Lepisosteus oculatus: one gene and its partner. The protein of the gene in region 1 purifies or fractionates together with the protein of each later gene. This does not show direct contact. Links are inferred from orthologs where the notes say so. Each region holds a gene or a part of one and is shown on either strand. Other genes may lie near its edges.

Region 1 (10,017 bases):
AATAATCACTTAGCAAAAATGAAATCAAAATGTGCAGAAACTAAACTTAATTGATGATAAGGCATTGACAACTGCAAAATGTTATGGAGGGTAGAATACAAGTAATGACAACAAAAGTAATATTCCAATTAGCACGTAACTTGTTTAACTTAAAAAAAATAGATTCATTCTCTAAAGGTAATAGATCAGTAACATCTCAAATGGCAACATTCATTGTGCATGAAAAGTGAAATGATTCCCAAGGTGACAAATTCTTAAGCCTTGTTTATTTGAATCTCACAAATGGTAAAATCTGTCTACATTATTACTCAATCAAAAATAGTTCAGAATATTTACATTATTATTCTTAAACAAGACTTTGAATGATACAAAATTATTTAATCTTCACAACGTGTTTTATTATATATATTATATATGCATGCACAGTTTTGACTATGTTGTCTGTATTGTCATTTTGAGAAAGCACTGATCTGATGTAAAACTGATGTAAAATATTAAGCAGATATAAGGCAGAACCCATAGACTAAGAAAGAAAATGGTAATATGTGTTCATTAATGGAGTGATTGACAACATGCCTAAAAATGAAATAAGTGAACAGTTCAGTTTTGATTAATCTTAGTATTACCAAAGGTGTATGTTGCAGTGTCAAGGACTACATAAGCAAATCACCTCAGAAATTAGATATTATTCATAGTCAATTAATCATTACTCTTTTAACAGTTGTATATACAGATAGAGAATTGCACATCTAACACCCATCCACTAAAAGAGGGTAAAATCTTAGCCAGTCACCTAAAGACCAGTAAGTCTTCATTACGTATAAAGTTTTGAAGACATTAGAATCAACAAGAATCTTTTAGCTGTAAACTACATTTAAAGGATAGTCTTGCTGTTCCTACAGTAACTTACATAAACTTGACAGTGCAATTGCTAGTAAGCTTTTTAATGTTTAAAGAAAAACAGGGTGACTGCAAACCATGTAAAAGTTGCAAAAAATAAAAAATCAATATGTTTTAAAAATCAATGTATGCAGAGAGTAAAAGGAATACAAGTAATTAGTATCAGATAGGATATAAAACAATTACTTTTACTAGGGTTACTAGGCTTTAAGGGTATATTTTGGCTCAAGATCTAGGGTATATAGTGCAAAGTGCATAATGCAAACCAATGGAAGTTATAGTAAGTTTTCACAATGTAAAGTGCATGTTTTCGGTTACTATACAACAAAGATGACAGTGTTGCCCAAAGAAGAGTTTCTAGAGGAGTGATCACAATAATTTTAAGTCTAAAAAAGTTATGCATAGACAGGTTGAAGCAATTGAATGTCTTCAGGCTACAGAAAAATGAAGTAACAAGGTGACTTAACATAACTATTCAGAATCTTGAAAGGTATTGAGTGACAAAGTATAAATATGAAGCACTTCTTTTCACAAAGAGTTGTCAGTCTTTAACAAGCTACTGTATTTAGTCATCATACATCAAGATGCAGTTAGACCAGATTCTTAGATCTTTTAGTTTCTAGCAATCAGAAGAATAAGACAGGCCAAAGGCCTCCTGCTCCCTGTAATTCTTCACATATTGATAAGATTTTATGAACATATTTGATGTTATTTGGTATCTGCCTCTAAAGGACATTTTTATTTTGTAAAAGATTGATTTTGAAAAATATATATATATTGCTTTTCTGAAGTAAAAAACATATACAATGAGGTTCACTGATGTTAATTCATTTTAATCATAGATTTTTTGCTTTGGTTTAGAATTGTGGCAGAGTTTATGCACCACTTGTATAAAACATATTTAAGGGTCAAAAGTTTTGTTACCTTCATAAACAGAATTATATTTGAGCAAATATGTTGGTATTGTTTCACCATCATTATTACTGTAAAGGCACACATACAGTTCACACTTCACAAAGGGTGTGAAAACTAAAATATTAAAATATTTTTAGTGCAGCACTGAAAAAATCAGAAAAAATAAAAATGATATACATTTTAAAAATTTATTTTTGAAATGTGGTCCCAAAAGCAATAATATACTTTATGTTTTGCACCATAAAGTGTTCATTTAAGTATGAAGTTATACCTTTATGCCATATTGCTAATGATGTACATTTTATTGGTGTAATGCAGGACACACAATACCTTGTTTCAAAGCACAAATTATAAATGCACCTTTTCCATAAAGCTTTTAATGTAACTGCTTCAAAGCTAACAAAAAGTTAAGTGTTAAGACCATGAAATTGAGATACAGATTTGCAAATAATGGGACTGTGTATCAAGAAGGCTAAAATTCAGTAATACTTTTCTTTTAACAAAACACACTTAAGAGTGAGTTTCATATTGATTTAATTTAATTGAACTTTAAAGAAACAATTTTATCTTTTGTGATACGTTCTTGAAGGCACATTAAATGTACAGAGTGACGTAAAACACATTTCCATGGTTGAAATACTTTTATAACACTAAAATATGTCCCTGTGACAGAAGATGCATATGGTAAATTCATTGCTTTGTTTATCACTGCAAAAACCTGATGAAACACATTCCACACTTATATGGCCAGGCTTTGGCGGGGATCACAGATGCCAAGTAACAGGTGTGACCACCTGGAGCCCTGAAACAAGCCATAAGCCATAAGCCATAAACCACATCTTAAACAGACTTTTGAGAGAACTGTACATCCTGCAGAAATTCCTGCAATGGCCTAAGGCTGAAGATACTGCATCATGGTTGAATATGATGGCCCAACACATCCCACAAAGGTTCAGCTGCACTCATATCAGGTGAACTTGAAGGTCAATCCTACACTTGAATATCGTATGCATGAAGGAATGCTTGCTTAACCCTAGTTGAGTGGAGGCTGGCATTATAGGATTAGAAAATAAGATGTCTTTGTCTGCAAGGTTGCATTAATTAGTTTGTGGAAGACCTATTGCAAGATTTTGCCCACTTGGGGCTGTGTTTACCCTGAATAGCAGATTCTGATAAACCCTGAGCTGAACTAGTTGCACCCTGCACTATCACTCCTCCTCTTACAAAACGTGTTAATGCAAATTTCTTTAACTGGACGTCAGCTTCTTAAACTGCCTGCTTCTGCTGGGCGAATCAGTGTTAATTGGTAAGAATTGGCTATGACAAAGCCAACGACACCACAATACACAGTTTACCATAAGGCTTTGATGTACTGCAGAAAATATTCTGTCGGTATTTTGAATGTTTTAGGTTCAGATTACAGCATCTGTTGCGTCTCTGCTTCATTGAAACTGGTTGCAATGCTGATAAAGAAAAGTTCCTTTCACGTCTTCCTGCGGTGATACTGTATGTAAGGTACCAGAATAGGGACTACCACTAACACAACCAGTTGTCACCAGTTGTCTTGGCACTAACAGCAAATGGTTGCTGCATGTACACTTAGATGATCTGCAACCAAATGCTGTAACATTCCAGCATTCCAACATCAAAATTCCCAGTCCCTTCAAATTCATCACTCTTGGTACTAATGTTTTGCATTTGAGCTGAATGATATTATGAACTGTTCCATTTGTACTACTAACTGGTACAATTGGGCAGTATGGTGGCACAGTGGTTAGCATTGCTTCCTTGCAGCTCTGAGGACTTGGGTTCAGTTCTGGGGTTGCAATCTGAGTGGAGTTTGTATGTTCTCCTTGTGTTTGTCTGCGTTTCCTCTGTGTGCTCCAATTTCCTCCCACAGTCCAAAAGACTTCCTGGTAGGTTAATTGGCTTCTTTAAAAACTGAACCTGGTATGTGTCTTTGTGTGTGTTCTGAGATAGACTGGCTTTCTGTCCTCGGTGTATCCCTAGGACGAGGTCCTTGGATTAATTAAGTACTAATTACCATTCCAAATGGGCTCGATAGGCTGAGTGGTCTCCTCTAGTTTTAAACCTTTCTTAAGTTCTTATGAGACCTCAGAATGCGTGTCAGTGGCTGCTGCAGAATTCTGTAGTAAAACTAAACTCTCAAGCTGTTCACCGCCTTCTGTGAATCCAGGGAATCAGATGAAAGAAAGAAGGAAACAGAAAGAAGAAACCAAGACAGGAGCAAAGATAGTGCTCTAAAAATCTGTGCTACTTGAAAGCCTGATCTAATCACACAATGTACAGTATGAACGTGTGAGGCATTTTTCTCCATCTTTAACATGCCTACATAAATTTACGCAGCCTTAAATCATTTATTTCCCTTAAAGTAAGCTACCTCCGTTCAACTGGTTTAAAACTCTTTTATTTCAGTATAAACACTCAGTAGCTCTTTCTCACAAATCAATTACTGGAGAGCAATAAAGAAGTCACCTTAAGGGGTAGCTCCATGTGGCCTGAAAGAGAAAGTGAGTTTTTAATACATTAATACTTTCACATATACTGAGAAATACTTTCACATATACTGAGAGGCATTAAAAATGCAACAGCTATTTTACGTACTTGATTGTTTTTAATGACTCTTTTGTCTATGTGAATGTCTGTTTACACTTTTGTATTGGTACACTTTTTTAAACGTAAAATAACATGAAAAATTGGATATTAGACGGGGTAAATTAATTTGCGGCAAAACTCTCAAAATGTATACACAGCAATTGCACTTCCTCCATCTTTTGTATCTCTTTTTATATATCTAAACGTCTCTAAATGTGAAAAAAAAACGTCCCAGAAATAGGTCAGGTGAATTTCAATGCAAAATTGACGATGCTGTAATGGTTTTAACAACCCTTAGTGTAAATTAAAGCATGCTTAATATATAACAGCGATCACTATCTGATGCTAATACATGTTTTTTTTTGCCTACGTCTTCCTGTATTCTCCCACACTAATATTAAATGGTGTTGATTTTACATACACTTTAACACAATGTATTTCTACTGCTGATAGTTATAATACAACTGAAAGCTACAGTACATTGAAGTTATCACAAAACCCGAGAAGAAATAAAAACAACCACCGACTTCCTTTATTACTGATAAGGCTGGTCTTAATTCTATAGAGTATATGCACTATTCCCTTTTCATTCTAAAATTCCTGGGTAAGAATTAGCCTACGTACAATTTTATGTACAATGATGACACTTATTTCTGAACTTTCAGGCCATGACCATAACATAGTTAGTTCAGCATAACTGATATTGTTGCCACAGAGTGACATGCTATACGGGAGTAGCTTGTTTTTTTAAAACAAATGTTCTTGTCGATTTCATCTCGTATTCACGTGTTTGCAGAGATAATGGTATGCATTCTAGACTATATGCAATATCACAGGAATTGCTTACAGGCTTTGGGCTGTGCTTTATTGCTTTCCCGTGGATTCCTAGAGTCTATACATAAACTGATAATTAAAACGTCGTTCTTAATATTTTCAATCGACCGTACACTTCCTGGGAATGTCTTACTAACGGTTTGTAATACTATCCTCCTTTCTCGCCGTGGTTCCACTTGGCTTGCGGGCTCTCTTACTAGATCGCCACTGCAAGCCCAATAACAACATTACTGCACCCCCCTACCCTGCCTCTTTGATTGCATTCCTCTCTTTGTATTTAAACATCCGGGTTTCCCAACTGGCTTTGCTTTACTCTCTTCTCCTCTCAGAAGCCATTTTGGACTCAGTTCAGTTTCTTGCATGTCAATTTAGCCCAGTCTCTCTGGCTATTCAGTGTTTTTAAGCAAAAAAGGGGGTAGCGCGAAAGGTAGACGGGGAAAAACACTACAATACAGCAGGCAGAGTTGTTTTGTATTATTGACATTAATATCTGGAAATTATTTTCTCCCGATGGATTTGCCTATATTTTAAAGTTTTTTATTATCCGTACCCGAACATTTTTCCCACTGGGCTCCACACACAAAAGCAACGCAAACTCTCTTGGTGCTTTGGACATCTGGGGCCCTGGGTCATTTGGCTCGTTGTGTTGTGCTGATAAGCTCTTTAAATGTTCGGAAAGGAAAAGCGCTTTAAACGGAGAAAATCTGGTGCGCTTTTCTCAAATTAAAGGAATATGTTTGCGTCCTGGCTGACTTTTGCGCTTCTTTGGGGAACTTTTTGTGCAGGTAAGGACTTGTTTATTCATTTGTTGCGATTAATGAATTTGATATAATCGTAAAACCCACATGAATTTGGCCGAGGACGTTGTTCAAGGGGTGGCCGAAAGTGGCAGAATAATTTCCTTGCAGTTTGTTTTCTGTGGGATTCGGTTTTAAAATATTTTTCACTCGTCATTGTGGTACAAATTCTTTAGTCATTTCTATCTTTTAATGAGTAGCGTCGCATTTAGGAACTTTTTAATTCTTTATTTTATGTGTACTTTTGGTGTTACTGAACAGGGTATCAAATTTGAATGATCCAGGGTTGTTAAAGGTACGCTTCATGGTATTACGTTATAAAGGGCTCTGTAACAATCGAAAATGTTACAATTGCAAGCAATTTGTGAAAATGTTTCTCCGACCACTACTTGCTCATCGAATCGTTATTGTTAACATTTTTTGTAGCTCAGGTAGCAACACATTGTTTTTGTTGTTTAGACGAGTCCTTACATTGACAATTTCATGAACATTGCTTAGATTACTGCAAAAATGTTTCTGTAGAGATGTGCACTTTTAAAAATGAAAGAGTGGACTTTGTTTTTACCCAGTAGTCATGTGGGCTGGTTTGCGATAGGAATGATCTAATTGAAAGTTGTAGAATACCAACCGCACTGGTTTCGGATTCCTTCGCATTTTCCCCATTAAATCCCTCGTTTTAAATTACCACGTGCGACAGATAACGATGTTCCCTCTTCGGCGAATGCAGTCTGTTTTAGCTCAAATGTCCATCTTTCACAACATAACCGAGAATGGTGAGATGAAACTTGGCATGTGGGTGTAATTGCTTCAGCATTTTTGATAGAACCATTTTAGTCCCCCAACCAGATTTGCACAACTAGTAGTATAATCAAGAACACGATACTGCCTGGATGTTTTGTTTTCCGGGCACGATATCAAACTTGCATGCTAACTGATCTTGGTGAAACATGCATTTCCGTATTACCTGTTTCGTTAGTAATTACATCCATAAACATTGATTTCGATTTAAATGAACAGATAATTGAATTTTGGATCCTGCATGGCTGCTTTGTTGTGCGGTTCCCTCCTTGTTTTGACGAGTTTGGGGGAGGGGTACCGGGGGGAGTGAAAACAACCCTTTGTGCGTATTTTCATAGTAAAGAAATTAAATTCGAATTAAGTGTTACTTTCTCCCTTTACTGAAAGTAAATATGAAAACACCTTCTAAAATATCAAAATGACGCTGTTCTGTAACATGCACCTAATTTGGCGAATTGTTAAATACCGATGTAGGTCTGTTTTTTTGTTTATAAAATCACGTCTTTTCCTTATTTAAATGGCAATTGAACTATGCTCTGTTTTCGCAATTTTTCTTCGTAAGAGAACTAAAGCACGAATCACAAAGACGGTTGTTCCAATTTATTTTAACACTCGTATAGCGGACTTTAGTCGTGCATTTGCGTTTATTTTCCTTTTAGTCAAAATGTTTACAAAATGAGCACGTGAAATTGCTCGGGCTAGCTTTGTTTTTCTTTGTTAGGTCCTGCGTTGAATGCGCAAAGGCTATTGTATAGCTTGCGTTTTGAATGTAATAAATGTTGATGTAATACGCTCAAGAGAAAATGTGACCGTAGCAAGTAAAATGTGCTTATTGCTCTTTGTTTTTAGAGGAATATTGTTCATACTTTACGTTTAATTTTGATCATTGCTAATTCGCTTTTCCTGTACTATCCTGAACTGAACTATTGTTATTGGCTTTACATCGTATCTTGCTTTTTTGTTTTTTAAGGTCAGGTTTTGGATTTTTGTGCCGTTTTGGCTTGAGCTCTGTGGCGTCTTTAAGCAGTTTTGCTAAATTTACTTCTGGAAAAAGTTGATAAGAATGTTTACTGACAACTATGACATTTGTGTCATTTTCACTTTTTTTTTAATTTGAGTTTTTAAGATGATACAGAAATCTGGGAGGATTCCCATGAAAGCATGAAGTTTAAAACAATGTTTAAGTGGCATATGTATATTTTCTTTAAGTTATTAGAGGTTTCTTGATTATTAGAAGGACTTAAAACAGCAATTGCCTGGTCAGTTTTTGTGTGCATCTTTGAGTAGGAATATAAAATAGGTCTCGAGGTCGAGTATTGGAGCTTATGGGCTCCAACAATAATAAAATGCTACTATTTTGTTAAACTAAAATTAAACTCCTCGGTTGTTAATGTAACTGTAATGGGTTTGTACACATTGCATATAAGACCGGCTTTATCGAAAAAACATTGTATCAACATATTGCTACTTTATGACGAGCTAAGTGAATTACCATTTTTAAAAGACTACTCTATGGAAGGATTTTATGTTTTTTTTTTTAACCAGATGGCATATTCTATTTCACAAAAAGTTCGTTTGTAATCGCAGTATTTTTTTCTTCGAGCTTTTTTATCCATAAAATGTTTTTTAGACATAAACGCGTTAATTTAAGGAAAACAAAATAATAGTAAATGAGCTAATAGGTCTAATTTATTAGAACAGTAGCTGTGGTGATTAATTGTGAACATGCAATCAATGCTGAAATTTACAGAAGTTTGTGATCATTGGGGGGAAAAAGTTCATATAATCTGTCATTTTACTTGGTGCATGTATTGCATTGGTGTTTGGGACATTTTATAATTCACATAATCTGAGTGATTAAACCATCATAATTTAACTTGTGATTCCGGAATACTCAAACGGAGAAGATAAAAGATTCCCTCTCTTTCAACTGCAGATGTTTTGAGATGCACCTCCAAACGACTTCCTTCTTAAATGTGCGATTCCATATAAAAGCGCTTCCTTGGTAATGTGTATTCATTCAAATCTGTGTGGCGATTAAGTAGCACCTACACCCTTATCGTGGTTTTATTGCCGATAACTGAACACAAAAAAGGAATGCTGTAGGTTTTGAACTCTGCTGTCTCAATGAATCCGTGCTCGCTCTTCAGTATTGTTGGGTGTGTGGCTTCTGTTTGTGTGTGAGGGATTGAGGGGGTGGGGTGGGATGATGTTGTAATAGCCCTCTTATCACATGACTGCTGGATCAGTATTAACAGCGTATCTCTACCATGTCTACTGGGCGCTCTGTTCAGTTGCAAATTTTCAAAGGTTTTGGCCACATGGTTATTGGAAAGAGGAGAAAAAAGGTTATGGTGGTACCATGTTTGAATGTTGTAAAATCTGATCACTTTAGCATAACCTGATTATTTTAACCAAGCTGATAAAATAGAGAAATGCTGGGGTTAGTTTGTTGCAGTGTATTTGCTTTGTAGTATTTTGGTTTGATGGAGGGTAGCGATAAACATTGGGGAAATGGGGGGATGGGCACACTCCAGCAAGAGCCAGGATTTAAAGCGGCAGGCACTATTTTTTTTTCTCTAAGAGAACAAAGGTGGTGTTGGTAATATTTTTGATTATGGTAGAATTGAGCTTTTATTCTCTATCCACCTCGTCCATATCGAAAGGATGTATAAAGATAGACAATTCACAATGGACTGTGCAAATGTCTGCTTTGATAAAACTTTACAAATTGGCTATGAAAATGATCATATTTAATAGTCTTACATGTTATAAAAAGGAAAAAAAGTTGAGGAGTATGCATTTTAATGAGTTTCAACGAAGCACCAAGGCTAATATTTTGTAAAAATATTGAAACAACAACCTCTCTTTAATTTGAGAACTTATTCTTCATTGTTTCAAATAATGTTGCATATTCGAACATATTCCCTAAATGTAAATCCTTAGGGGCCGGGAATCGTTGCGTCCGATGTTCTGGTTTTGCTATTTACAGCTATTGTTTAAACCATAATCTTGAGTTTGTACCTAACGCTGTTGGAGATACAATAGACTCTTCTTGTGGCTCGTCTTAAAATCTATCGTTTTGTAGAACTCTTACATTTTACGTTGTGTTTTTAAAGTGTTTTATAACGGGTAAAGCTAGTTACTGAATGTTTAT
Region 2 (8,935 bases), about 19 Mb from region 1:
TAAAATTAATATAAAATGACTGCTTTTTGATTATGATCTGTAATATCACCTGTCTCAGGAAAATATTTTGAGACCCTCTGTTACTCAATGACAGAATTCCCCAGGGACATTTAACTCTTGAAACAAACTACTGTGTACACCTTTGAATAAGAGTCACAGGACGCCTATAGTGGAATTCCTCTAATGATGTTCAGTTTAATTATTTCATTCAGGGAAATAAACTGTAGTGTAATTGGTGAACTCTCCATACCATCAAGTTCAGTGTGTTCTCTGCCTGAAACTCTTTCAAAGTCGGTCACACTGCTCATCAGCATGATAGGCAGGCTTAACCAAGTATCAGGGCCTGCATTTCTCTGAATGAAGCAATTAAGCACAGCATTGTTTGAAGAATTGCGCAGCCTGCTTCTAGTCTGCTTCTGTGCTCTGTGTTGCATTGTTAATATCTCCATTCTTTGATTACGAAACCTCATAGGACAAAAGTGTGCACTGAAGTTTTAATGTAACGGCTCTCATGAGCTATTAATAGTGAAGAGCTATTATGAGCATCATTCTTATGGAAATATGAGCAATGCAATTCCTGATGACAAAAACATACAGTATGAGTGGTGTATAGAGATGTTCACCACTGTGCTTACTTATCTTAGACACAGTGGGTATTATGAAGCAGCAACAATTTAGTTAATACCTCCACTAGTGTTTTCTATTATAACGCCTTTGATTTTTCTGAGGTGCTCCTTGTCATTAACAAAATCGTCTCCTCTTTCCTCTCTTTAATAGTCATAAAGCTGAAAGGCTATTTTTGTACTATAAAACAGAATCTGGGGATTAGTTAAAATAAAATGGTTAACAATTCAGTTGAAGATTGCCATATAATTGAATGTTTGCAAAAATAAGCAAAATCAATTAGTTTAAAAGGAGGACGATATGAAATGTCAAACAAGTATACACTGTACTGTATATACTGTACAGTATGTGTTAATAGCATTTTTTTCCATGGCATGCATGAAGATACTTTTTTTCAAAAAGAATATGGAAATTAAAACTGGTATCAGAATACTGATGTACTAGTCACGAGGAAATCCCTGTTTGGACGTTTAAGCCTAGATTTTTTTTTTATTGTTTTGGTTATTTTTATTTTATTAGAGGTATACAGACAAGTACAGCCGTCTGTCAGCGGTTCCCTCTTGTGGTTTTCGTGCGGAATCGCATGTAAAAATGATAAAAATTGACGGCAAGCATTTCTTTGGTGAGAAAAAAATGAATAGTGGATAAAGGTTGTGAAAGGAGGGTCTTCTTATCTGCATTTAAATCGGGTAAGACTCTTTATCTTTTTCTTATCGATGTATCAGAGGATTTACGTCAGGCTTACTTTGTATAGATCATAAGGAATAAGAGTTCTCGGTATGTCCACGATTTATTTGAAAACATGGACGCACAGAGTTGCTGTGCAAGCGAGCCGCATCTTTCCCGTAAGGATTTCTTTAAAGGTAATATTAACGTATGGGTCACGTGTCTTGAAAGGACGCACGTTAAATTGTTTTACCTTTAAGATAAAAAAGTAACACTAATGAAGCTTTGGCATTTCTGCTTAATCCATTGGGAGCAGTGAGGTTGGAATGTAATTTGACGAGTGTTCCGTGAAATCTAAAATAAAATCTGTTTCATGTCAGTAATGACATTTAAACGTAAGAGCTGTTCAAATTGATGAGCATACTGTAGCAAGCCTGACGTTATTTTATTTTCACAATAAAGCGGGATGAGCATAAATGTAATAGTTAAAGTCAACAAAATGCAATTCGCCGAATTAATCAAATACAATTTGGGGTTTTTTTTTGCAATATTTTACGAATATCAAGTATGGGTTACTAACGAGTCCAAAACACTGTACGTCTTAGGTCTACTTATCTCCAAAAGAAAATGTTTCTGATGCTCATGTTTCTTTAAGGCTATGGAAAGGAAGATTTGCGTATACTGTATCTGACAACCGTCTTCCTTCAGCCCTTCAAAGCACTTGAAGTAAAGTGTTGCAGGTTTTACGTGTTTGATGGCAATATAAACCTGGATTTGTCCTATGACCACTTTACACACGTGTGTTACTGCTGCGTACAACAGAATTTGCGGCATTTCGTCTATGGACCGTTTGATGTTTAGGAAGTCGAAAGCATGCATCATGATAGATTAAAGCTCCACTGCATTTACTAGACTTGATATGAGAGATTTCGGTACCTGAAGTACTAGTGCTTGCTCATTATTGGACTAAAAGTCAACCGACTTTGTTTGTGCCTCAAAGAAAGTTTAGCAGCAGGACTTGGGTGAGATTGTTCTGTCATTAATAAGGTCAACGGTGAGGTCACGTAGGCCAGTCATCAAGTGAGGTAGCATGCTGATTTGCAATACAATATAGGTTTGGAACCTCAGAAAGTAGGCAATGTCAACCTTTTTTCGCCCAGAAAAAAAAGGTAAAAAACTTAGCTTTCTGAATTAGATAATCGATAACTACTGTAGCACAAATCCCTTTGGCAGAATACTGGGACATGCCAGAAATTAAAAGATACTCATTCAAAATTGTTTTACAAGTGACAAATGCAATCATTTTAATTTTAAATATCTGCTTCTGGCACTACTGTGTAAATCCAGGTATCCAATTTGTATCTCATGCTTTTTTGCGCAGTTTGAAGTTTTATCTAAATGAGTTAGAAACAAAAGTTTTAGGACTATTTACTGTATACTTACTGTTTAACAATGAAAAACATAGTTTGTAGTATACTAAATAACTACCATATTTTTAACTGCAAAAATTCCTCTTTGAAAATAATTAGAAAAGGTTGAAAGTCAGTTAGACATGAACATGCTGAATACAGTGGCTCTCAGTCATTAAGTTTCATAAATGCAGATTCTCCAGTACTCCTAACATCCTCTGAACAACTTGACATCATTATACTGGTGTAGTAAAAATCTTTCATTAAAGTCAAACAATTGGTCTCAGTGCACGCCTTGCCAGAACATTGCCACTTCAGTGAACTCTCGTGTTCTTTTATTTTGTTAATCTGTACAGTCCACTTTTTGATCTGTAGAGCTCTTGAGCAAAGTACAGGTGTCATTCACTGCCAATGAATACAATGAATAGAAGCTCTTTGCCATACAGTTTTGTGGAGCAGACTTTTCTCATTACAGCTCATTTCAGGGCTTCCTGCTGCCAAATTAATCCTGTTAATTTAAGGAGTTTTACATACTCTCTACAAGCAAGTTTATCTAATCACTTCAGATTAAGCTGTTGATTTTCAAAGACTGTCAGGCTCAGTGAGTTTTGGCTTGCTTTGAACTTGGGTCTCCCACCTACTAGTCAGAACCCTCTTTTGCTCTTTTTGTCATAGCACAGAATATTCATTCAAATTTTTCATTCTTTCATTTCATTTAGTTGATTGTGTGAATGTATGTGTACTTTTTTATGCCAATATAATGAGGAATTGACTTTTTGCAATGTTACTTTTCCCACATTAAAAAAGTGGCATGTTTCAGGACAACAGGGTCTGTTGTTCAATGCTGAGTCCAATTGCTATCTGGACTGTGCATTTTCTGTAAAAAAACATTTAGACGTTAGATTTACTGTGAAACAGTAGGGGTCTCTGACTCCTGAACTGTGCTAACAGGCACACTTTGTAAGAAGCAGCAGTCAGGAGGATTTTCTTCAGTTATTGAGAATGCTGGAGTGCACTCTATGAAATTGTCTCCCTGCAGTACAAAAGGTGACAAATAGACAGCTCTGAAGAGTCAGGAATCACAAATATTCACATCTTCTACGTGCTGAAGTTGTGAACGTAGTTTTAGTAGGTAATTGGGTATCTAGCCTTCAATCAGTAGGATGCAACAAAATACCTTTAAGAGGGGTGCCTGAGTACAGTTTTAGATAACAGGTCTTAAAATCTTAAATTCTAGTGCATTAGGCTTGTTCCTCAGCCTCAGCTGCTTCCAAGAGAATTATGTTTACAAACCTGTCTAACTGGGTTGAAGACCTGCCCTCTTCCACACCTTGCCATTAAATCTCCCCCCCTCAGTTCAGACATGGGCTACTCACCTGCCTCAGCAAAAGTGATGATTTCCGAAGTTTGCTCCGCCAGCTCGCTCATCTCTGCCCGGCTGTGAGCCTCATCCTCAATCTCCACGTTGCCATCCTCGCCAACTTTTCCCACGTGTAGTTTTTTGATGGCATTCAGCAGGGCTGCCCTGGGCACGGGGTGGGTGATGTTGGGTCTTTCCTTCAGATGCAGCATGCTCAAGATGTGCTTCTTGACGGCCTCGACCATATCTGCTTGGGAGCTGGCAGGCACATCTTTCTGCAGCTTGGAGAGGGCACAAGAGGGACAGTCGGTGACCGGCGTGTGTCCATCAGGGGAGCCAGGGGTGGGAGAGCTCCCTGCCAAAATCCCAGAGAAGAGCAACAACATTCCACTCAGCAGAGAAAAAGACATCCTGAAAGAGTCAATCTGAGTTGTAAGTTTTCCCCCTTTTTACACTAAAACTGAAAAAAAAAACAAAGTAGAAACTAAGCAAAAATAAAGTATAATCCCTTTTTTTAAAATAAAGAAGCAAGAGCAAACACTTTGCAGATCTGGAAAGTTTGAGTCTGGTAGCTACCGAAGTCTTGATCAGTTAGTCAAAAAAAGTTTTTCTAAGTTTATCAGCTGAAGTTCTGTGGCAGTGTAGATGTGTAGTGCTGGAGGGATGTGCAGAGCACCCGATAGGTCTCAGTGAGTTCGCTGTGTATGAGCTGAATGGTTTTGTATAAGTGGGCAGGGTTAGCTCACTCACTCTCTCACTCTCTCTCCCTCTAATTATACCTCGCTCCCTCCCAGTTTTTCTATCACTATACTTCTGAGTCATGTTATACCAACTTTTTCTTTTTTTTATTGCTTGTCACCCTGCATATTATACATAAACTTCACCTCCTTTTCATGTTCTTATCTTGTTCTGGTTTTCTGCTTCTCTCAAGCTTCTCATTTATTTAACTACAAAAATATATCATTAACGTGTGAAAAGGCTTGATACTGTCCAACTGGGTCTAATTGTACAGGTGCAATCAATGTTATCATTCATAATCGATTCTTTTTTGCATTTTTGATGATTTAATATTAAGGAAACTATGTGTATTATCTTAGAAGCATTTCACTGCAAACATTTGTGAACATCTGGTAAGGTTTTATTAATGCTGAATAAAATCTGTAAATTAGCCTTTCTTGCTGCGCTGGGCCAGTGGACATAGTTATACATGAAATACCTATCACTTTGTAACTCACTTCCTCTGTATCATAAATAACCTCTTTGAAGACAGCACCTTGATTTTTGTCTAGATTATTATTGTTCTTCTAAACAAAATGTTTTTGAGTTTAAAGCTCAACTATACACACACTAAACAATTAGTCAGAAAGGAGCACATTGGAAAGTAAAGGTTTCCTCGTTTCCTGATGTACTTGCTTTTGAAAAAATGTCATTTTGTGACTAAGTGCTTTGTATAACCACAACTCATTTTTAACAATCATTCAGAAAAAGTCTGACAAGGAAATTTCTCAAAACCATAAGCTAGGTTCCTGAATGGTTTGGCTATGGCCTCCTGTTGGAGCACAAGTTGGACCCTGTACTGCAGTTCAGAGATCACTGGTTCAAATCTAGGCAATGTCATGAGCTACATATATCCCTGGTCAGGGTTTCCCAGAGGAAACGTCACATTTGACAAAGTACTGCCAGGGGTTTGAGGTTGGCCAGGGTTTTCCTGTGGTCCGGCTCCAATGACTTTGCAGTGTGTGCCTTCTTCAGCTCTCTTATACTGTACTTTAGAAGTCATTTTGACACTTTCTAGAAAATTTTAAGCAAGAGAATAGTCATTGTTCTTTGTTTCCTTTTAATTTTTTAGTTTACTTAACAGACATGAACAAACGTGCTCTTGATTTCTTTGAAGAAATCTCAAAGGACATGCATTCTGGGCTCTTTCTTTCCTTTTTTGTAAAGACTTAGCAACTGCACAGCTTACATTGACTTATTCAGGTATTTTGGTTATGTCCATATGAACTAGTGAGGTCAATTAACTCAGCAGCAGCCTCTGCTGGCAAAAAATGTTTCTTTCACCCAAATTTCAGTAACCTAGCAACCTAACAACTATTACTGTGCTCTTCACAACTCCTGTTCTCTTATTTCTGTTACCTCTCAACTTCATGCTCCGCAGGGTAGGTAATTAATTTCAGAACTTGCGCCATCTTCATGCTCTCAGTACATATTAAATTCATCTTGAGTGATGCTGGCCTGGAGTTGGGTATACTTCCTTGGAATGCTTGTGATCAGACCTCTTAAGGTCAAACAATATTTTGAAGAAGTGGGATGTTATTAATATTATGTTATTTTTTCCTGCATATTCCCCATTTTCTTGTCAGCCCTCAGTATTGCAGCTGTTGTAGCTGATTAGCACAGACAGATGGCTTAATATTACTAGTGTTGGCCTGCTTTCGATCTGGAGGGATGTGAGTGGTGATCCCATCACTCTCATCATCCTGGGACTCAGAGTAGGCCTGCAGATGCAGTGTGACTCCTCGTTGGCATGGGTGTGAGCTCTGTTATTAATGTTGGCCTAAAGGGGAAAAAAATGAGGAGGAATAATACAGTTGCAGCTCAGTCATATAGAGGTGGAGACCTTTAAGGGCAAATATTGGTAGGACTGCTTACATCCCACATCTCAAGAAAAAAAAAAAGTTCTGCATTGGACTAAAACATTATTCTTCTCTTGGAGGAAAAAGTTGACAAAATAACATTTTTGAAGAAGATGTGAATGATCAAATGTAGACAATTATATAACATTAACACATGAACAATGTAATGCAAGATTACTTTTTGGAAAGGCGAGAGGTGGTTCTGTCTAATCTGAACTGTCATGTGAAATTTGTTTAAAGGCTTTATTTTAGTCATTTTTACATCCTGTATTTATCATACCAAATTTTACCTCCCCACACACACTTCTCAGATTGTTTGGCCTGATTTATTCATCTCCTCTCAAAATATCTACATTTCAGCCTTATCTTATTAGGATAATACCTGCAACAGTCTTGCAGAACTACATGAGGATTCCCCCATGACTGGTAGTAACTAGATCTATTTCTCTCATATCTTCAGAGCAATTTCTGAACACTGGCCTTCCTTTTCAGTAGAATGAACTAAATTTGTCTGTCTATAATGATTTCCCCCCTGTCTCTTATCTTATGAGTGCTTAGAACAAAATTCTGTGGTTCATAGTGCCAGCTAAACCCATTTTCTAACTTGCAGCCAAAAGCAAACACAGATAAATTTCATTATGGTAGATATGCATATATAGTATTATTTTCACTATAATGTTGTTTTCCATCTACTATCTTACAAACATCACCATGACTTCCCTATTTCGTTTCTAGCATTGCTGTATTATCAGATTTCACAAGTTTTTTTTTAATGAAAAACTTACAGTTGAGCTAGAAGGCATTACTAAAGTTTTGCCTGACCAAATTAATATTTTTGGAAGCTCGTTGATTAAAAATAGTTGGAAGGGACAACCATGTTTTTTTTTTCCCACTAGGGGGCAAACTATCTCTAAAGTATAGTTAGTGCTGAATTGTCCTGGAGGCAGGACAGAATGATGTAGTGCTGGAATGGAGGACGTGCTCAGAACTTAAGTCCTCACAATTTTAGGAGGGGGAACATTTGCTAAATGATTCACTTTTTCTAACCATGAAGCATCACTGTGGCTATCCTGCTGTTTGTGCTAGATAGGGTGGGTGGTGAAATGATTAAAACATTTTGATCTCATAACTGATACTTTTTTATTAAGAAGATATAGTATCAGATATGTTATTTGATGCTATTTTGAGCTAGCTGAATGTGACATAATGCAGCTACAAATACAGTACATGCCACTTTTTACTGCTAATTAATGAAATGATCTCATTCTGCTGCTCTCAGAAATGTTTGATTAGTAAGAAAAACATTTTTAACAATGGGTCAGAGTAATGCATTACTTTTGATTGGATCTCTGAGAATAAACTCAGTAATTTTAAATGAGTAAAAGTCTTGGATTTCCCTGTTAACTTGCGTGTTTGCCAAATTTCTATACAACTGTGCTGAATTAGCTCTGCCACAGAAGCTTTACATGGTGAAGCCAAATGTAGCAGTATTCTTCAGACAGGAACTTGTCAATGGGATGGTTTACAATTATAGACCAAATAACATGAATGAGTAAAAATATAGTTTGTCTGCACTTCGTGGCATTTTGTGTGCTATGAGAATTTATCCTAAAATACAATTTAATATATATATATTATATCTAAGGTGCGGCACAATGGTGCTTTGGATAACCAGCCTCGCAGTGGTGAGACCCTGGGATAAAGTCCTGGGGTGCTGTTTGTGTGGAGTTTGTATGTTGTCCCTGTGTACATATGGTTTTTCTCCAGGTTTCCCGGTTTCCTCCCACAGTACAAAGACATACTGGCACCTGAAAAAGTGATCCAGGTGTGAGTGTGTGCAGGTCTGTGCCTGTGTGTGTCCTGTGATGGACTGTGGTCTCGTCCAGGGTGTATCCTGTCTTGCTCTTGTTGCCAACTGTGTTGGATGGATGGATAGATCTCGTACCTAACAATATTTAGTGTATGTATGATATAATTCAAAAATAATGTACTGTATTTTAACAAAAGCTACAAAAGAGGAAACAATCTTCACAAATTTAGGAAACATGTATTGCAGGTATTTTTTTTCCATTCTTAAATGTTTCTTGTGTTTTAGAACAATTGAATGAAAAAACATGACAATCTCAACAGTTTAATGTTGACATACATACACTATATATTGTTAGGTACGAGATCTATCCATCCATCCAACACAGTTGAACAATTCTTACCTACTGTGAACCTAGCAAAAGAACACACAC

What was found.
Region 2: the proteins of acvr2ba (region 1) and inhbab purify together in Homo sapiens (affinity purification with western blotting; 3 studies listed by BioGRID and IntAct, with this or other methods). This does not show direct contact. The link is inferred for Lepisosteus oculatus from reciprocal best matches to the Homo sapiens genes ACVR2B and INHBA.

What each region holds. Positions count from the first base shown.
Region 1 is NC_090701.1:35,707,026-35,717,042, reverse strand, and holds the start of acvr2ba (activin receptor type-2B), read left to right. Parts: upstream 1-5,580; 5' UTR 5,581-5,998; coding exon 5,999-6,050; intron 6,051-10,017. UniProt on the Homo sapiens protein: Transmembrane serine/threonine kinase activin type-2 receptor forming an activin receptor complex with activin type-1 serine/threonine kinase receptors (ACVR1, ACVR1B or ACVR1c).
Region 2 is NC_090701.1:16,471,737-16,480,671, reverse strand, and holds the start of inhbab (inhibin subunit beta Ab), read right to left. Parts: upstream 4,470-8,935; coding exon 4,076-4,469; intron 1,314-4,075; exon of another isoform or gene 1,092-1,313; intron 1-1,091. UniProt on the Homo sapiens protein: Inhibins/activins are involved in regulating a number of diverse functions such as hypothalamic and pituitary hormone secretion, gonadal hormone secretion, germ cell development and maturation, erythroid differentiation, insulin secretion, nerve cell survival, embryonic axial development or bone growth, depending on their subunit composition.